Linked DNA regions of Xenopus tropicalis. The protein of the gene in region 2 interacts with the protein of the main gene of each other region in a biochemical or structural test. Links are inferred from orthologs where the notes say so. Each region holds a gene or a part of one and is shown on either strand. Other genes may lie near its edges. The genes, in order: epn1 and reps2.

Evidence for each region.
Region 1: the proteins of reps2 (region 2) and epn1 form a complex in vitro, tested with the Homo sapiens proteins (3 studies listed by BioGRID and IntAct, with this or other methods). The link is inferred for Xenopus tropicalis from reciprocal best matches to the Homo sapiens genes REPS2 and EPN1.

Annotation. Positions count from the first base shown.
Region 1 is NC_030683.2:104,088,166-104,098,046, forward strand, and holds the start of epn1 (epsin-1), read left to right. Parts: upstream 1-5,636; 5' UTR 5,637-5,665; intron 5,666-9,881. UniProt on the Homo sapiens protein: Binds to membranes enriched in phosphatidylinositol 4,5-bisphosphate (PtdIns(4,5)P2). Modifies membrane curvature and facilitates the formation of clathrin-coated invaginations. Regulates receptor-mediated endocytosis.
Region 2 is NC_030678.2:94,753,100-94,762,880, reverse strand, and holds part of reps2 (ralBP1-associated Eps domain-containing protein 2), read right to left. Parts: intron 8,518-9,781; coding exon 8,376-8,517; intron 5,664-8,375; coding exon 5,600-5,663; intron 3,448-5,599; coding exon 3,305-3,447; intron 867-3,304; coding exon 790-866; intron 1-789. UniProt on the Homo sapiens protein: Involved in ligand-dependent receptor mediated endocytosis of the EGF and insulin receptors as part of the Ral signaling pathway. By controlling growth factor receptors endocytosis may regulate cell survival.

The DNA.
Region 1 (9,881 bases), on a different chromosome or scaffold from region 2:
ATTATTTTATGGTTAAATTCATAGTTATTCTATTTAGCATGGGTAACAGTACATACATCATGTGTTCTAGTTAAACAGATTGTTTTGACAGTAACTTCTTCCTTTATTTTTCTTTATTCCTAACTATTATTCATATTCTCCCCTTGGAACTATCTTCCAGTTCCCGCCTAAAATAAATCCAATTCTTTATACATAAGCTTATTAGATTGCAAAGCATGGACAACAGAAAGGTTACTTCTCTTTTGGAACCTGCATAATATAAGAATTAAACTTGTAGATACTATACTATGATATATTACTTTCTGGATAATGGGTTTCCGGATAAGGGATCCCATACCTTTATTATTTTTTATTAACATTTATTGATAAAGCGCCAACATATTCCGCAGTGCTGTACAATAAGTGGGTTTCATACATTGCACATACAGAGTAACATATAAAGCAACAAATAACTGATAAAAGAGGTGAAGAGAGCCCTGCCTAAAAGAGCTTACAATCTACAAGAGTATGAATCAGTAATTTTGTTTATTAATAAATGCACGGTTTGTTAAATCCAAATAAATACGAAGAATTAAAAAATATATTTTTTTTTCATAGTCTCATGTAAAAATGTGATTTCAGATCCAGTCACCCAAGACTTCGGCACAGAGTGCTTTAACTGGAGCATTATGCTTCATAGTAATTTGACTATATACGACTGATCCTTTAGGGCAGTGCTGTCCAAATGGCGGCCCGCGACCCCCCTCTGTGTGGCCCCCCACCTGTCTGGCTGCTTTGATATCTTACTTTTGTGTAAACTTTAAATGGTATCAGTACTGAGATTAACTGCCCCCCTGCATGGTTCTCACCTCAGATTCAGGCTGTAAACCCTCTGTATTGTTTAAACATGTAATCCCCTGTGTTGTTCACACCTTTTAGTTTCTGCATTGTTCACCCCCTGCAGTGTTCACACCTCAGGCTCAGGCTGTAATCACCCACATTGTTTCCCTGTTCACACCTCAGACATTGTATGTAGTGCCTGGACTATGCTGCCTGTGTATATGGCACACGCAGACAGCATAGTATGGCACATCGGCAGCATAGGGCAGGGAGGGTATGGCACACACAGGCAGGATAGGGTAAGCAGAGTATGACCCACACAGGCAGAATAAGGGAGGCAGAGTATGGCACACACAGGCAGCATAGGGTAGGCAGAATATGGCACACACAGACAGCAAAGGGCAGGCATAGTACGGCACGCACAGACAGCATAGGGTAGGCAGAGTATGGCACACACAAGCAGCATAAGGGAGGCACATACATGCAGCATAAGGGAGGCAGAGTATGGCATACACAGGCAGCATAGGGTAGGCAGAGTATGGCACACACAAGCAGCATAAGGGAGGCACACACAGGCAGCATAAGGGAGGCACAGTGCTGCCTGTGTGTGCCATACTCTGCCTACCCTATGCTGCCTGTGAGAGGTGAACCTGGCAGGGGTTTGTTCTGGGAGTTTGTTAGCAGTTGGAAATAGCCATTAAATGGTCCCTAAGGTGTGTAATTATGTTGCTGGGGGTTGCTGTGCTATCCACAGTGGAGGAGGAGGCATATGGATTTAAGGGTGTGTCTTAATAACATAATATGACATAATATAATTCTTTCATATAAGAATAATTGTTGATATCCCCACAGTGAGGACCAAGCATTTGGGTTTTTGCCGCACTACCACCATTGTGATAAAATTGGTGTGGTTTGAAGTTGGTGTGGTTCAAAAAGGGGAGTGGTCAAAACTGGCTTCCATTAGCGGCCCTCCAGGTATGCTAGAGAAATTCCGGCCCTCGGCACCGCAGAAGTTGGACAGCACTGCTTTAGGGTGATGGCACTTAACATTTTCTAGCTCACAGGGGAGTATTCTCACTACATGGAAGGGGGAAATACACTATAAATAGTTTCCTATTTAAAGTGAATAAGAACTGTGCATTTGCTAAGCATACATTTCATAAAGCTGCAATATCAGCAGGGGACAGGCACGACTTCGGAATGGTCGACGTTGTTGTTTCTAGGTCATCTTTATAGAAAATCAATAAACTGATCAATCAGGTTGTGACAGAAAGTGACCAGGAAACTGAAGGATTTTCACATACCCCTCCCCCAGAGTGAGAAAGACTAATGGCCATACACAGGCAGATATCAACTGCCGATTCGGGTCGACATTGATTAGTCACCGTGACTTTTGAAAAAACATGGCCGCAGCAACTATTTGTGGTAATTTAGCTGCCATAGATTTATAAAGCAGTCAACACTAATCGTGTGTTGTGGCTTTTAGTTGCTGCTACTTTTTAAAAAGTTGTGGTGACTATTTACCCAGTGTGTCTTTGCACTAAAACTAAAGGCCCCCATACACGGGCCGAATGTAGCTGCTGATTTCTGTCCCTTGGACCGACTCGGCAGCTTATCGGCCCGTGTAGGGGCAGAAACGAGCGGGCTGGCCGACCGATATCTGGCCTGAAATTGGCCAGCTATCGGTCGGCCAGGTTAGAAGATCCAGTCGGATGGGGGACCGCATCGGCTCGTTGATGCGGTCCCCTAACCGACTGCCCCATTGCCGCCTACATAAATCGGATTTTTTTTTAACTTCAAGCTCCCCGATATCGCCCACCCGTAGGTGGGGATATCGGGGGAAGATCCGCTCTCTTGGCAATCTCGCCAAGCAAGCGGATCTTACCGTGTATGGGGACCTTAACTCAGCCCGTGTATGGGGTCCTCTGACCCATATCTGCCAAAAATTGCTCAGATGTTAATTGGACAGACTTGATTATTCGTCAGATCGGGGACAGCATCGGCTCATTGATTTGGTCCTTGCTTCAACTTTTCCTAATCCCTTCATTGCAATGCGATCAGTTGACCCTAGGTCCAAACGACTGCATTAGCAGGATATTGCCCACCCAAGGTGGGGCGTATTGGGGTAAAGATTTGCTTGTTTGGAAAGAGCAAATCTTACTGTGTATGGCCATCTTAAAATTTGACAGTACTGGGTTTAAAGGAGAAGGAAAGGCAAAGTCACTTGGGGGTGCCAAAATGTTAGGCACCCCCAAGTGACTTTAATCGCCTACCTTGTACCCAGGGCTGGTGCCCCTGTTAGGAGAAAACAGCACCAGCCTGGGGTATCTGTAGTGAGTGCTTACTCCTTCCTGCTTAGTTTTCCAGCAAATTCCTGTGGCCGGCGCATGTGCAGTAGAGTGAAAAGCCGACTTTTCTGTTTAAATTTAGCTTTTCACTCTACTGCGCATGCACGCACGAGCGAAGCAGGAAGAGCTGCAGGTACCCCAGGCTGGTGCTGTTCTTTCCGAACAGGGGCACCAGCCCGGGGTAGAAGGTAGGCGATTTAAGTCACTTGGGGGTTCGGTGGAGTTGGATATACAAACGTCCCAACCACAGTTTGAAACAGCACTCTGGTCCCCCACTTTAACCAAACCTACATCAACATTGTATAAAACACTACTACAAACAACTCCATCCTCATTCAAAACAGCACACCGCAAATGGTTGTCCATTCCCAGTCCTCACAGAGGAGGACTGGGAAGAAGCAACAGACAGAGGGTATTATTACTTATTTTCAGTAAGAGACAAACTTGTCCAATTTAAATGGCTGCACCAATTTTATCTCACGCCTACACGACTAAGGTCTATGGGACGCAACCCCGATGCACGATGCCATAGATGTGGGATGGAGGAGGCAAATTTCCTACACATGGCCTGGTCGTGCCCACAGGTAGCCAAATTGTGGTCTGAGGTTATGTGTGTCCTAGCAGACAAACTAGAATTCCCCAAAATTCTGACACCCCAGGTGTGTATACTAGGAATCCTGGATGAATTAATAACCACCAACCATGCTAGAACCAGGTATAGGACACTCCTATACTACGCAAGGAAAATCATTGCAATGGCTTGGATGGGACCCAAACCTCCTACAGTTCAAAACTGGATCACCCTGGTAAATCAAGTTTTGCCCCTCATTAAACTTACTTTGCTAGCCAGAGGTTCCCAAAAGAAATTTGAGAAAATCTGGAGCCCATGGTGGGAGGCAGGCCTAGGTGGACAAGGTACCTTGACATGAAATCCCAATTTACACGTGCAGATGACCTTAATTCCCTAACTAAAATCCTCATGCAACCATCATTTTAAAACATCCGCGCTACCTGCAAAACCTAGTATAATATAATTGAATGAAACAGCGCTGCACACCTATAATCTCGGTCATACCAACCGAACCTATTGTATTTCATTACTTTTGTCATAACAAAACTGAAACATGTATAATATGTTACCGCTATACCGTAACCAGTGGTATATAATCTCCCTTCCTGTTTTATTTTTGTTTTTCTTTATGTTTTGTTTCATGTATGTTACATAAAACAATAAAAAGGATAAACCATAAGTCACTTGGGGGTGCTTAACATTTTGGCACCCCCAAGTGATTTTGCCTTTCCTTCTCCTTTAAGGGAGAAGCAGGGTTTCTTATGGATTTACAAAAGAAGGAAGATTCTTAAGGGTTCAGAATTGGTTATTATATTTAGTTTTACTGGGAAGCTGCTGAAAAATAAAATAAATACTGTAAGGAAACCAGAGAAGTGCAAGGCAACCTTATGTCCATGTGAAACTAGCCCTACTTGGCCATGCGATTGCTTACATTGGGGAACAGTAACAACACCACAACTGGTTTGAGATATTTGTGTTTAGTACAGTAAAGATGGCCTACCACGTAAGCCAAATACAGCCCTCCAAGAGGAATATGGCCAGGCCCAGCCCAGCTGAAAATGGCTCCAATGACTTCTTTGTAAGAAATAATATTGAAACTATTCATTAGTAATAAGAACAATAGAGAATAAAGGGATTGATGCTCTACTACATCATAAGCAGGCCAGGAGAGAGAAGAGGGCAATGCAAGAAGATTGGAACTTCCAAAATAAAGAAAGAAGGACGTCTAACCATCCTGCATCTGTAGAGCTACAACTCTCACCATGCCCTGAGTATCTCTGCCCATACGGGCCCTATAATGCTTAGGGCCAAGCGCAGGTGCACCCTTCATTCTAAATCAGCGGTTCTCAACCTGTGGGTCAGGATCCCTTTGGGGGTCCAACAACCCTTTCACAGGGGTCGCCTAAGACCATCAGGAAACACATATTTCCAATGGTCTTGGGAACCAAGACACAGCTCCTCTATGGTTGGGGGTCACCATAACATGAGGAACTATATTAAACAGTTGCACGGTTCTAAATCCAGCCACACACAGCAGAGAAGCGTTACAGGCTTGTTTACTCTAACCAGAGACGCAAAAGCGAACAACGCATAGTGTAAATAAAGCTTTGGTATAGGAAGGAGGCCGCCCCTGATGTCATGCTGAGGGCGGAAGCGGCGACATCTTGTCCTCAGGCTGCCAGTAATTGCCCCCTCCCTTTTCCGTCCCTTAGTTTTTCCGGGGTGAAAGGGCGCGGGCTCCGGGGCGGCTCCTGCTCCTGCTGCTGTGTATTAGCTGTGCGGCGGAGACATTCCGAGTGAGGCCCAGGAGGGACGGGGGCGGCTTGGCGAGGAGCCGCAGGACTTCCTGTTGGAGCGGCTCGGGAGTGGCCAGGCTGCGGCTCCCATTCTGGCACAGAGGAGAGGCAGCGTTAATACAAGGATAGAGGTACGGGACAGCGCTGTGCCATGTACTGATACTGCTGTGCAAGCACCCCCCTCTGTGCGCAAACTAGCGCCTGTTTCCCTTCCATGTGCGGAGCCGCAGTGTGAGGGCACATTCCGCTTTCTGCCATTCATCCGCTCCGTGTGTGAATGTCACAGCCTACTGCAGCCTTATCCCGGGGCCGGCCCGCCTGCTGCAGCTGTATCCCGGGGCCGGCCCGCCTGCTGCAGCTGTATCCCGGGGCCGGCCCGCCTGCTGCAGCTGTATCCCGGGGCCGGCCCGCCTGCTGCAGCTGTATCCCGGGGCCGGCCCGCCTGCTGCAGCTGTATCCCGGGGCCGGCCCGCCTACTGCGGCTGTATCCCGGGGCCGGTCAGATTGCTGCAGCTGTATCCCGGGGCCGGCCCGCCTGCTGCCTTCACTTTCATTCTGTGCGCTAATCTGCCCGCATTCTGTGTTCAACCACTAAATACATTGGCATCCCACGCTACCTTCCCATTTACATTGGTTACGAATTTGCAGTGTCTTTAAAGTTATTTTAAATAGACTTTTTAGCTTTTATTAGGAAACCTGTTATTTATGGCTTTACATCCCCTTTAAGAGCATTAGTTCTTTTGTTGGAATCAGCATCAAGCTGAAAGTTGTAAATCACTGATTTATGTATAGTATGTCTGTTCTCATTGGGTGGCCCTCCATCAGCCTGTTCCCCAGGGACCCCTCTCTTACCTACTCCACTTCCTTTCACAAAAGCTGCTCCATAGTGTGTATGATGATGGCAGATACACTGACAGCTGAGATAAATAATGCAGATTCTGTCTTAGGGCTGATCCATGGAGAGAAGGGCTGCTTAATGGAAAGTGATAAAGCATTATGTATTGCGATATGGTATTGGCCTTGTTCCTATGCCCCCCTCCCTGGACAAAAAAAAACCTTTATTAGAACAAATGGCTTTGGAATATTGTTTTCAGCATCTTGGAGCCTTCGCCCAATGGCTTTTGTTGCCATGACTGCTAGTCATTTAACTGGAGAGTGGCAGGCTGGCCATTCATAGGTTGTTGTCTTCATGGTGCCTGTAAATAAGCACATACTATGTGCCATAAAGTCTTTTTAGGTTAGAAAGGGTTGTGGGGAACATGCTAAAACATAATGGCATGTTGGTAGTAGCCAACAGCTGGGGGGGGGGCAGGTTTGAATTCTCCTTTATCGATACAGTCCTGAAATTCCTTATGTACCGTTTTGCACCCAGCATTGCTGCACTCCATGTGCTAGCTTATTCACCTCCAGTTGGATCCCTGCAAATAAGCTAACTGCTATGCCGGCCTGCAGACTATGCTCTCAGCATTGCATTGCTCAGCAGAAAAAGGCTTTAACAGGAAAGATATGTGCACTTGGCAGTCAGAGCTGCTGTTTCAGTGCTTGTGGTTTACTACAGCTCAGTCTAGCTCAGAATGTGTATAGTCACATTAGGAGGAAGATTACATTGAGAATTTTTATAATAAAGTATATATGTTGGTTCATAGATTGGGCATGTATCTGAGGTGGTCACATTGCTCAGTTAGTGATGTTTAAGGTGTGCTGGGTTCCAGTGAATTTCATGAATGGTTCCTTAACAGCCAAATGCAGGGCCTATCCCTATAACAGAGTGAGCCACTTTGCTGCAGCATAAACACCCCATGGGTAAAGTGCATGGTTCTTGTGTTATGTCAGATACAGTTTGTTGTAAAATATACCTCCAGGATAGTCCTCTATGGGCCTCCTGTAGCAGAAGGCAGATTTCACACGCCAGGAAACAAGCAGCACTTACTAGTCACTAAGGGAACCCTGGGGTGCTGACGTCTGCTGCCATATGGGCAGGTAAGCAGCAATATTACAGTTATCTGCCTGACTGAATCATTTTGGACATACCCTTACGCTAAGGCCAAACCCTAAAGTTTTGTTGTCACACCACTGTAATACACAGCAAAATTTGTTTGGCTTAGTCGTGCTCTGATATTAATATGCTACTATCCAGGCTTAGATTCAGCCTAATGTTTGTGTAGAATACGATACAGGACTGAGTCCAAAATGATATACCACTAATCACTGATATTTGATTCCTCTTGTGTTATTCAGCATTATTCATTATGTTTAGATCCACTCTGCGCTATGCTACCAACAATGCTGCTTCTGTAAGGAAGATAGAATGGGAAGATAACCTGCTAGGGCATGTTTAATGTGTACTTTCAGTGGAATATACTGCCTGCTGATTGGCTGTGTCTGCTTACATAAAGGGGGCCAAAATAATCCTTTATTTTATCTCCAGATTTGATTGGGCAAGGCAAAGTGTATGAAGTGCATGTATCTATCCCTGCAACACTGCATTAATATTAAATGCAGTCAGATGTGCTTAATATAGCCTTTATTGCCTTCTGTGATTTGCTTACAAACTCTTTGCTATATTTGGTCTCAAATTAATTTTTTTTTGCTGAAGTCAAGGTGATTTTCCAGCAGCAAGTACACAGATTAGCTCAATTAGCACAAATTGTGGCTAATTGGTCTTTGTCGATGCGCAGAAGGTGTCGCTTATGCCATTCACACGTAATTGCAACTTGCTGGACCTTTACTTGTAAGACTGGCGAGCCTTGTTAGCAGTAGATAGCTCAATATAGCTTCCCGTCTGTGGGTGTTAAAGTGCCATTAACCCATTGCTTTCATTAGTTCTATTGCAGTGTCGTCGTTTGTGGGTGAAAACAAAGTGCTATGTGACTCAGAGACTAAGCAAGTGCCATAAAGCTGCTTTGGACAGATCACATACTCTTTGCTTTGTCAGCATTTAAATATTGCTGCTTGCGCCATCATGCTTTTAGCTGGCAGTGGTCTAGTAGCTTGGTTGTAAATGGGAGTGGAGCTTCTTCCATTAGGTCTTTGAGCAAACAAAATTATGGACTTTTGATGGGGGAAAACATGCCTGTCTCTTAAAAACTCCTCAATGAACTGTAGCATGCAGAACTGTCATCCAGCCCCATGTCATGAGGGAGATTATGGTCCAGTCCTTTATGGTCCAGTTTTTTTTTTTTTAGGCCTGGATTCCTCTTCACACTATATAATAATGATCAACTCATGAGACCATATTTCATGTTATCATTTAGTGTGAAGAGGAATCCAGGACTGGACTATTATCTCCCTCATGACACTGGGTTGGTTGACAGTCTCGGAGCAAGTAAAGGCAATGGCACCTGGGGCTGTATTGGGCGCTGTGCCACCTGTGATCTTTTCTAGCTTTACTCCGCCTTCCATGAACTTGGCAACAACTTTTCTTGATATATTGGTTTCAGGCAGCTTTCCTGCCGTGGTAAGGAACCTCAGTGGAATTAAAGGGGTGGTTCACCTTTATGTTAACTTTTTAGTATGTTATAGAACAGTGATCCCCAACCAGTGGCTCGGGAGCAACATGTTGCTTGCCAACCCTTTGGATGTTGCTCACAGTGGCCTCAAAGCAGGTGCTTGTGAGTCTAGAATTTAATTGTTATTGTTACTTTTTATTGTTTGTCTACCTCTTTGGCCCCTCAATTATTTATATATCAAACAACTGCCTGGTTGCTAAGGTTAATAAGACCTTAATAATAAATAAGCTAAATAACTTAAAAAAAAAAAAAAGACCAATTGCAATTATCAATGTTAACATCGTACTAAAAGTTAAGTTAATGGTGAATTAGCCCTTTAAGGGCTGCTGAAGTTTAACCAGAAAGGACATGGTAACATAGCACTTAATGAATGTCCCTTTTTTGTTTTAGAAATATTACAGAATGGAAAAGCTGTCATCATACTGCTATAGGAGAGATAATAGGAAAGTGAATGGAGAAACCCAGCTCATTTTATTCCCTGCTAACATGCCTTTATGTACAGTTTATGTAATTTCTGCCTGTTGATCCGTAAATGCCAGCAGGCCTAGCTCACACTATTACATTGCTTAAAGGGCTGATATACTTATGCTTTATTAATTGATATATATGGGCCAATTACAGCATACACATCAGCTTTTTATTTTACTTTCTTATCTTGTAATGCAGGGTTGCTTAACTAATTTGTTAGGGTACCGCGATTAAGTCTGGAAGTCTGTTTTGTGGCCCAAGAACCTAGATGACTTACTCGCTTCATTTTGGTTACTTCTTCCTGCTGTAGTAGGCAGTTTCTCTGTATGAAAGGTATTATGAAGACCCACTTTAAAGGGCACAGGGGCCA
Region 2 (9,781 bases):
TGTTTGAGTCATTGGCTGAATGAATACTCCTGATATCTGCAGCAGATCTTTCATTGTACAGCACTCCAATAACTGTAGCTACACCACTGTTTTGCTAACTAATTATGAACTAAATGTTCTTGCTGATGTCCCATATGGCTGATATGGCATACCACCAACTAGCTGTGGGGCATAAACTGTTGTTTGGTGCTGGCTAAGAAAATAGCCTACCATTGTCCATTAGTGTAGCAAGGAAAATTAATTAAAGTGATACAGACACAAAAAAAATATTAATGTACATTGAAAGTTATCTATAGGTCATGTTGATCATTTTTTGCTTATAGGGCTGCTTTTATAAGTAAATGCTACTTGAAGTTCCTAAACCTGACTGTTTTGCCAACCTGACTGTGCCTTCTCAGCCTCTCAGTTATAGCTTCTAATGCTAATGGACTATTGCTGCACAAATATGGCACCCCCCTCATAGAGGAACTTGGGGCATTAAATAGGTAATATAAAAGCACTGGGCAAATAAAAAATTATAAAGCTCATGCAAAGACACTGTTATGACAGTTATAAAAAAAAGTTTTAATTTTTGATGACAGTATCCCTTTAGTTTCCTGGTGACTTCAAAGGAGCAGGATGACTTGTAATAAAAAGCTACTATATTCAGCTACAGTATCTTGAGATGAAGTGACCACCATAAAGCCGTTCAGTTAAAGTCTAACAATTTCCTGCAGCTGTACATAGTCATTGTGTACTATTGCATTACTGTATCTAACACTGAAAAATTAACTGCAGATCATATGTTACCTCTTTTCTGCTCTGGCAAACTGTGCTTGTTCCACGACAGCCCTCGTATGCATCACCAGAAATTGGCTTTAATGAACCTGCAATTAACAATTGTTTTAAGCTACCATATCTTTATATTTAGTATAGTATAAGATTCAAATGCCCATATACACTGTTAAAATGCTAGCTAAAACCAATCAAGATAGCTGCATATCTGCATGCGTACCAGAAGATGTAAATGCTGAAGGGCCTGACTTGCAACAAAATGTCTCCTCTCCCTGTAAGTACTGTCTTGGCAGTAGCACTGTATTACATTTAAAATCATCTGTTATTTAGGTCCTGCAGTAGTGCATCCCCAAGGCGTAAACAATGGAGAGTCTGAGGACAAATTTTATATTGTTTCCTGTTGACTAGGCAGGCATCAATGGCTTTAGTATACTGTTAAATTACACATAACAGGCCAAAGACCTTTTTTTATTGTTACCACATTTTTATAAATTGCCAATACAATAAAATCAGTGAGTATACAGAATATACAGTTGTTGTTTTTATTTAGAGAGTCTATTTACCTATTTTTTTTCTAAATTACCAAGCACAAACATTATGTAACCTTTGGCTTCAACTCTATACTCCTGTTAAGTAGTTAATAAAAGCAGAGACGTCAACTTAGAAGTGCGGCATATTCCAGTTGGCTCTGTCACATGTTACTATTCAACTGGTTTTATGTAATGGCACTCTGGATGATTTCTATCATTTTGTCACCCCCAGCATTTTCTTGCTCTGCAGAAAGGGGACAAAACAACAGAAACAGGGAAGTTAATGGGAATTACCACTATGCACTGGGGACTGTCTACTGACAGACACATACTACCTGAAAACAACCGGTGTTTAATTTTTTACCACCATGTCACTAGACTGGATAGCCTACAGTGGAAATTCCTATTTACCTTGAAAAGGGATTGACTTGTAGCATTTTGCCTCCTGCCTGTGAAGCAGTCAATCACTGGAGTGACAAATCACTACCTGATGTTCCTTCAAAGCTCCATCAGGAGCCTGAGTAATGATAAATCTTTAGTGACATATATTAATTATACAGGTGCCAAGTTAATGATGCTCATGACCAACAATCATATAACATCATACAACTCATTTATATATTTTTATGTAATTTCAAAGCCTTCTACCATGATTCACAGGAAAGCACGTTTTTGTATCCTAGTAACAGGCTACTTGCTGTAGTACAGAAGCTTCTTCATGCAAATATACCATATGATACACAACAAAAAGCAGAACTGGATTGTCCTCTAAAGAACTGGATGGCACAGAGCTGAACACAATGCTGAATTGCAGCAGCATTAACTTGTGCAACAGCAGCAATCATCATATTATCAATTATATTTGCAAGCAGATCTGGAATTTAGAATCATTTACTTCAGTGTGAAGACTCTGATAATACTCTGAAGACAATACCAGATTTGTACAATAGCTTGAGCTATTCACTACTCTACTTTCTATTGGAGATGACAGGGTTGTATTTTTGAGGCACAGGTGGGTATAATGTATAAATTTGGGAGAGCAGGCAGGCACAGACCTAAAAGGAAACCTGTAATTATAGGTAGATGGTAATGACAGGTCTGCATTGGGCCTACCATTGTAGCATGACCCCTAAAATGCAAGTGTTTTATGGATGTAAATTAAGAGGTGCTTTTTTGCAGTCATTAGTGCTCTAGCACTTGAGTCCAGGATAACCCTTAGGGGCTGATTTACTAACCCACGAATCCGACCCGAATTGGAAAAGTTCCGACTTGAAAACGAATATTTTGCGACTTTTTCGTATGTTTTGCGATTTTTTCGGATTCTGTACGAATTTTTCGGATCCAATACGATTTTTGCGTAAAAACGCGAGTTTTTCGTATCCATTACGAAAGTTGCGTAAAAAGTTGCGCATTTTGCGTAGCGTTAAAACTTACGCGAAAAGTTGCGCATTTTTCGTAGCGTTAAAACTTAACGCTACGAAAAATGCGCAACTTTTCGCGTAAGTTTTAACGCTACGCAAAATGCGCAACTTTTTACGCAACTTTCGTAATGGATAGGAAAACTCGCGTTTTTACGCAAAAATCGTATTGGATCCGAAAAATTCGTAAAGAATCCGAAAAAATCGCAAAACATACGAAAAAATCGCAAAGTACCGATCATTACGAAAAAAACGCAATCGGACTCCATTCGACCCGTTCGTGGGTAAGTAAATCAGCCCCTTAAAGTCCATAGCACAGCAGAATCAAAGAAGTTCACCAATTCTGAGAATAGAAATATACATTGTTAATAGCCATGCATCTCAAAAGCAGTCTTGCTTTGATTATTCTACGGCAGTTTTGATCTTTTTTCCATTTTTGTTATACCTGTATAGTTTAAACTAAAGAATAGCAAGTCCTCTGTAAATTTTTATTTGTATAAACAGAGTTGTTAGTTGTACAGCTAAGAAAAAAACCACAGAAACATGCAATTTACTGTCACTAAATGAGCCTAATGTGCTTACCTGTTTGAATAATTTCTGCCAACAAAGTCCGGGGCAGTGTATCTGGCACCTCATAGCCATTCTTCCTTGCAACAATGAGGTGAAAAGCAGCACTAAATTCAGTCAGTGTTAGGGCTCCATCACAGTCTACATCACTAAGATCCCTGCAATGAGGAACAAAAAAGCAAAAAGGAAGAAACAATATATTATGGGCTGATTATACCCTCTAGGACAGAAATATCTGTCACATATTAACCTGCACTGACTGAAAGGTAAATCATCCTAAACCATACCTATTCTAAAAGCTAACTGAGCAATCTGTGTGAGTGTAAAGGGTGGTGATAGTGTTTAAAATGATTCTTTGATGATTTTTACAATATACTTTTGATCTCTAAATTACATTGTTTACATAGCAAATAATTGACTCTAACATTTAAAATGTTATTCTTGAACCAACAAATGTATTTTTTTAGTTGTAATATTGGTGTGTAGGCAGCCACCTCAGTGCATTGTGCCTGTCTATGAACTTGCAGAAGGAGCCTGCCAGCGCTACACATTGGGGTGAAGACACACAGAGCTACTAGTAGCAGCTACTTTTTCACAGCTACTAAAGACCAAAAAAAACCCTGCCAAAGCAAATGCTGAGAATTGCCTCTGCTAAAACAAACATAGAGACAGTTATCAGTAAATAATCAGCATTATCTATTTTAGTAGCAGTGACAAGTAGCTGCTACTAGTAGCTCTGTGTGTCTTCACCCTTAGAGCTAAATGATGAAAACAGCAGCACACCGGTTGATTTGAAAAAATGTGAAACTTTACTCAAGTGCCAAAGGTAACTGATTCTATTCACCCTTAGAACTGCTTTTCAGATAACCTACTGTTTCTCCTACTCCCATGTAACTGGAGGAGTCATGAGCCAGATTTGGATTTTTTACTTTTAAAGGAGAAGGAAAGGCTAAGGCACTTGGGGGTGCCAAAATGTTAGGCACCACCCAGTGACTTTAATCGCTTACCTGATACCCTGGGCTGGTGCCCCTGTTATGAGAAAACAGCACCAGCCCGGGGTACCTGCAGCTAGGGTCTCCTCTTCCTTATTTCTTCTATCTTTGGAATCCCTGGGCCAGCGCACGCGCAGTAGAGTGAAAAAGCTGACTTTTTTGTTAAGTTTTTTGCGCAAGGACGGCAGAAAGAAGAGGAGACGCTCGCTGCAGGTACCCCAGCCCGTGGTAAAAGGTAACCGATTTAAGTCACTGGGGGGTGCCTAACATTTTGGGGATAAGGGATATTTGTTGCGGGCGACTAATCTCCCTGTCTGTCACGCCCCTTAAGTGCTGTTATCATATCTACCACTTATAGCAATACAGGTGTCAGGAAGCTGCTATCTTGTTACCTTCCCATTCAGTGTCGGACTGGCCCACCAGGATACCAGGAAAACTCTTGGTGGGCCCTCTTGCTTCTAACTATTTAGCCTATTTCATGGTCATTCCCTATTTCAGTATGGGACAAGGAAGCTTGATAGATGGAAGAATAGAGTATAGAATGTAGAGAAAAGAGACTAGGATAATAGAGAGTTTGAGTGAGGAGAGTTTTAAGAGTGGGCCCATGGTCCAGGGTTTTCTGGTGGGCCCCTGCCATCTCAGTCCGACACTGTTCCCATTGTTCTGCTGATTGGCTGCTGGGGGAAAAGGGGAGGGGAGGTAATATCACTCCAACTTGCAGCACAGCAGTAAAGTGTGACTGAAGTTTATCAGAGCACAAGTCACATTGCTATGGCACCCTGCAAAATGAAGATCATGGCTAGCCCCATGTGAAATTTCAAAATTAAATATATTAAAATCTGTTTGCACTTATGAAAAACAGACTTCAATGCAGGGTTCTGCTGGATAATCTCTATTAACGGATTCATTTTTTTTTTTTAAATGTTTTCCCACAACAATATTCCTTTAAATCATAAAACACTAGACATTTGCTACTGCCCACTACTTCCCATTGAGATTTTTAACACCAAGTATACTTGCTTCATTTTCTGTTCTTCAAGCATGCTTTATATTCCAATTTTGTAAACTTTACACAAATCCTAATTTTTCCTTCTTCCATCTTTTTTTCTACTTTTTTTTGTGTTTGTTTCAATTCATATACTTTGTACTTCAAATATTAACTTACTAGCTTTTCTACACAGTTTACTCATCTACCCTTACCAATTAACATCACTTTTCTCACCTTTTCTGTTTCATTCTATTGAGACATAAAAGGTTTAAAACAGAAAAAATAACTGTTCATCATATAATATTTGTTATAGACATAAAGTCTTCTTACCATATATGTGAGAGCTCTGAAATAGGCAGCTTTGATTTGGTGAAAAAGTTCTTTGCTACAGATCCTACAGAGAATTAACAATACAAAAAAAAAACCAACATAAAAAAACAATGTTCTCTCTACTTCAATTAAAATTCAATACTTACATTAATGCACAAATGGTACACGCTAACAGTATACTGTACTGTTTACAATAAAAATGCTAGAATGTTTCTAAATGGTTCCATAAAAATGGCATCTCAATACTATTTACACAAAATATGCAATGTTTATTATAAAATGAAAAATAAAGCATAATTAACAAACCATTTACAAGTATGTTGCGGCATTTCTGTATCTGTAGGAAGATGTTACTAATCGTAGAATAGTGTTTTTTTTTGGCTCAGGCCCATTTTGAAGGCCAAACATTTGACCATTGCCCCCTCTTAGTTATTAACAAGGTTACAGATATATAGAATTATTAATTTATCAGTTGTGTAGTCATAGTTCCATTACCACACAGAATAATGTAAGGTGTTCAACCCAAATCTTGCTCTAACTTATCTCCAGAATGTGATTTAAAACAAAAATAAGCATTATACCCAAACATCTACAGTGGAGGAAATAATTATTTGACCCCTCACTGATTTTGTAAGTTTGTCCAATGACAAAGAAATGAAAAGTCTCAGAACAGTATCATTTCAATGGTAGGTTTATTTTAACAGTGGCAGATAGCACATCAAAAGGAAAATCGAAAAAATAACTTTAAATAAAAGATAGCAACTGATTTGCATTTCATTGAGTGAAATAAGTTTTTGAACCCCTACCAACCATTAAGAGTTCTGGCTCCCACAGAGTGGTTAGACACTTCTACTCAATTAGTCAACCTCATTAAGGACACCTGTCTTAACTAGTCACCTGTATAAAAGACACCTTTCCACAGAATCAATCAATCAAGCAGACTCCAAACTCTCCAACATGGGAAAGACCAAAGAGCTGTCCAAGGATGTCAGAGACAAAATTGTAGACCTGCACAAGGCTGGAATGGGCTACAAAACCATTAGCAAGAAGCTGGGAGAGAAGGTGACAACTGTTGGTGTGATTGTTCGAAAATGGAAGGAGCACAAAATGACCATCAATCGACCTCGCTCTGGGGCTCCACGCAAGATCTCACCTCGTGGGGTGTCAATGATTCTGAGAAAGGTGAAAAAGCATCCTAGAACTACACGGGAGGAGTTAGTTAATGACCTCAAATTAGCAGGGACCACAGTCACCAAGAAAACCATTGGAAACACATTACACCGCAATGGATTAAAATCCTGCAGGGCTCGCAAGGTCCCCCTGCTCAAGAAGGCACATGTGCAGGCCCGTCTGAAGTTTGCCAATGAACACCTGAATGATTCTGTGAGTGACTGGGAGAAGGTGCTGTGGTCTGATGAGACCAAAATAGAGCTCTTTGGCATTAACTCAACTCGCTGTGTTTGGAGGAAGAAAAATGCTGCCTATGACCCCCAAAACACCGTCCCCACCGTCAAGCATGGGGGTGGAAACATTTTGCTTTGGGGGTGTTTTTCTGCTAAGGGCACAGGACAACTTATTCGCATTAACGGGAAAATGGACGGAGCCATGTATCGTGAAATCCTGAATGACAACCTCCTTCCCTCTGCCAGGAAACTGAAAATGGGTCGTGGATGGGTGTTCCAGCACGACACTGACCCAAAACATACAGCAAAGGCAACAAAGGAGTGGCTCAAGAAGAAGCACATTAAGGTCATGGAGTGGCCTAGTCAGTCTCTGGACCTTAATCCAATAGAAAACCTATGGAGGGAGCTCAAGCTCAGAGTTGCACAGAGACAGCCTCGAAACCTTAGGGATTTAGAGATGATCTGCAAAGAGGAGTGGACCAACATTCCTCCTAAAATGTGCGCAAACTTGGTCATCAATTACAAGAAACGTTTGACCTCTGTGCTTGCAAACAAGAGTTTTTCCACTAAGTATTAAGTCTTTTTTTGTTAGAGGGTTCAAAAACTTATTTCACTCAATGAAATGCAAATCAGTTGCTATCTTTTATTTAAAGTTATTTTTTCGATTTTCCTTTTGATGTGCTACTGCCACTGTTAAAATAAACCTACCATTGAAATGATACTGTTCTGAGACTTTTCATTTCTTTGTCATTGGACAAACTTACAAAATCAGTGAGGGGTCAAATAATTATTTCCTCCACTGTATGTATTGCTGTTTTGTCAGTGGATAATTGTGAGCACCATATGGATACTATAATACATACAAGTACATATATATTTATATGTGTGTCCTGTTGGAGTCAAGTTAAGGAATAACATTAGGTGCTTTTTTATTTTGTGTACATAATCAACAATTCAATAACCTCTTATTTAGATTATTCAGATAACTGACAATATAAAGGAAACTGCACATATTCTTCTATATCTTCTAAAATTTACTTATGATTATGGGGCCCCAACCTCTATAATTCCCTTAATACCCATCCATTAACACCAGTCACAAGAACATCAGCATTCTGTGGAAGTGAGTCCTAAAAAAATGCTGCATTGTAGGGAAAAAATGGTGACTTACATTTAAACAATGCACCTTTGCACACTGCATTTGTAAATCCCTTTAGATTTCTGAAATGTTAAATAAGATCTTTAGGGACTCATGCAATCTTTGTAGTAAAATCTATAGGAAATTTTGGAATTGAAATAGAAGTGAATCTGGGGCATAGAATGGAAATTCCTTACAGAATGAAACTATGATATTTAAACAAAAATATAATTACCAGAAATTAATGATTTTAGGTCAGGCTGAAGAGTTATGAACTGGTTAGTGTAATACTCTCGCTGTTCCTCCGTTATCCTCCAGGGGTCCTCAGAGTAATTACTAGGATCATCAAGTGATTCTCTTTCAACTGAGAGTGAAAGCTGCAAAAAAAAAGAATTATCGCTTTATCAATAAAGATTAAGATAATGATTGTAAAATATTTTTTCAAATTACTGTAAATCAGGAATAAACTCAGTATCCATATGCAGATTTGGACACAGAGAAATACACAATGTAGTAGTCATGTATTGTGTCTGACCCGTTGCACTTCTTGTTCAACCAAAGCTGGAGGGGTGTGTATACTTAACCCCTTTTGTTTAATTCAGCATATTGTTTATTCTACATGGTATACAGAAGAAGATACAGTATATTATCCCTTACTGGAAGTGCAAATATTTTTTCAAGAATAAAAAAGGTTTGAGGTTTTTGTTAAATTCAGAAGCAGAGTCAGTCCAAAAGGTACTGTCACCCAAGGCAAGTACCTTGTCTCCTCTCCTGATCGCTACCACACCACTTACTCTCATAAGTTGAGCCCTAGGTAGCTGCCTCTTCTGCCTACCCCTAACCCTGACCCTGTTCAGTGGTGTAAAAAAAATATTTCCTGTATATTTCCTGTATCCCCCATACAGTTAGTGATCTACTATTTGACCTTAAAGAACTAAATGATATTGCTCAAGGTCACAGTCAATTGACAAATGAATTAAATCCAAGTCTGCCTGAATCACTGTAAGAATTACATTTACAACTTCAAATCTTAGGCTGAAAATCCTAAACTGGTAGAGCACAGTTTGTAAACATTTTTAATTTGACATTTATGAGCCTTTAATGGTAAAACATAGAGAAAATTATTATAATTCTGTGCATAAAGCAAAAAAAAAGCCTTGTGGTTATTTTAACATGAGGCAGTTTGCATGCAGCAAAAAGACATATATCCGGTCTATACTGTACCATAAATTTAAACTGATCAGTGTCACCTGTCTATTTGTATACAAAGTGCATCAAAAACTTAAATTAATATAATATATTTTTATAATTGTATACATATCTAGCAGGATGTTGCATTCTCACACATAGCGGTGTGCATATCAGCATTATTTGCCCAGCATGGAGTACCAAGGGGATCCTTTGGAGTATTAGCTATACTTTCTAACATCCACTAACATCTTTTCCTTTTCCTTGATTCAGCAAAAGAACTGTAAAATAATACAATGTTCCTACATTTTGTAATTACAAGGAATACAGACAAAACTACAAAATAGACAGGTATGAACGCTATAGTACCCTGTAACTGGGATGAAGCTGTTTATACTGCAACGATCTGGGAGCCAGATAATATGTATGAACCAAATTAACCATTAGCTATTT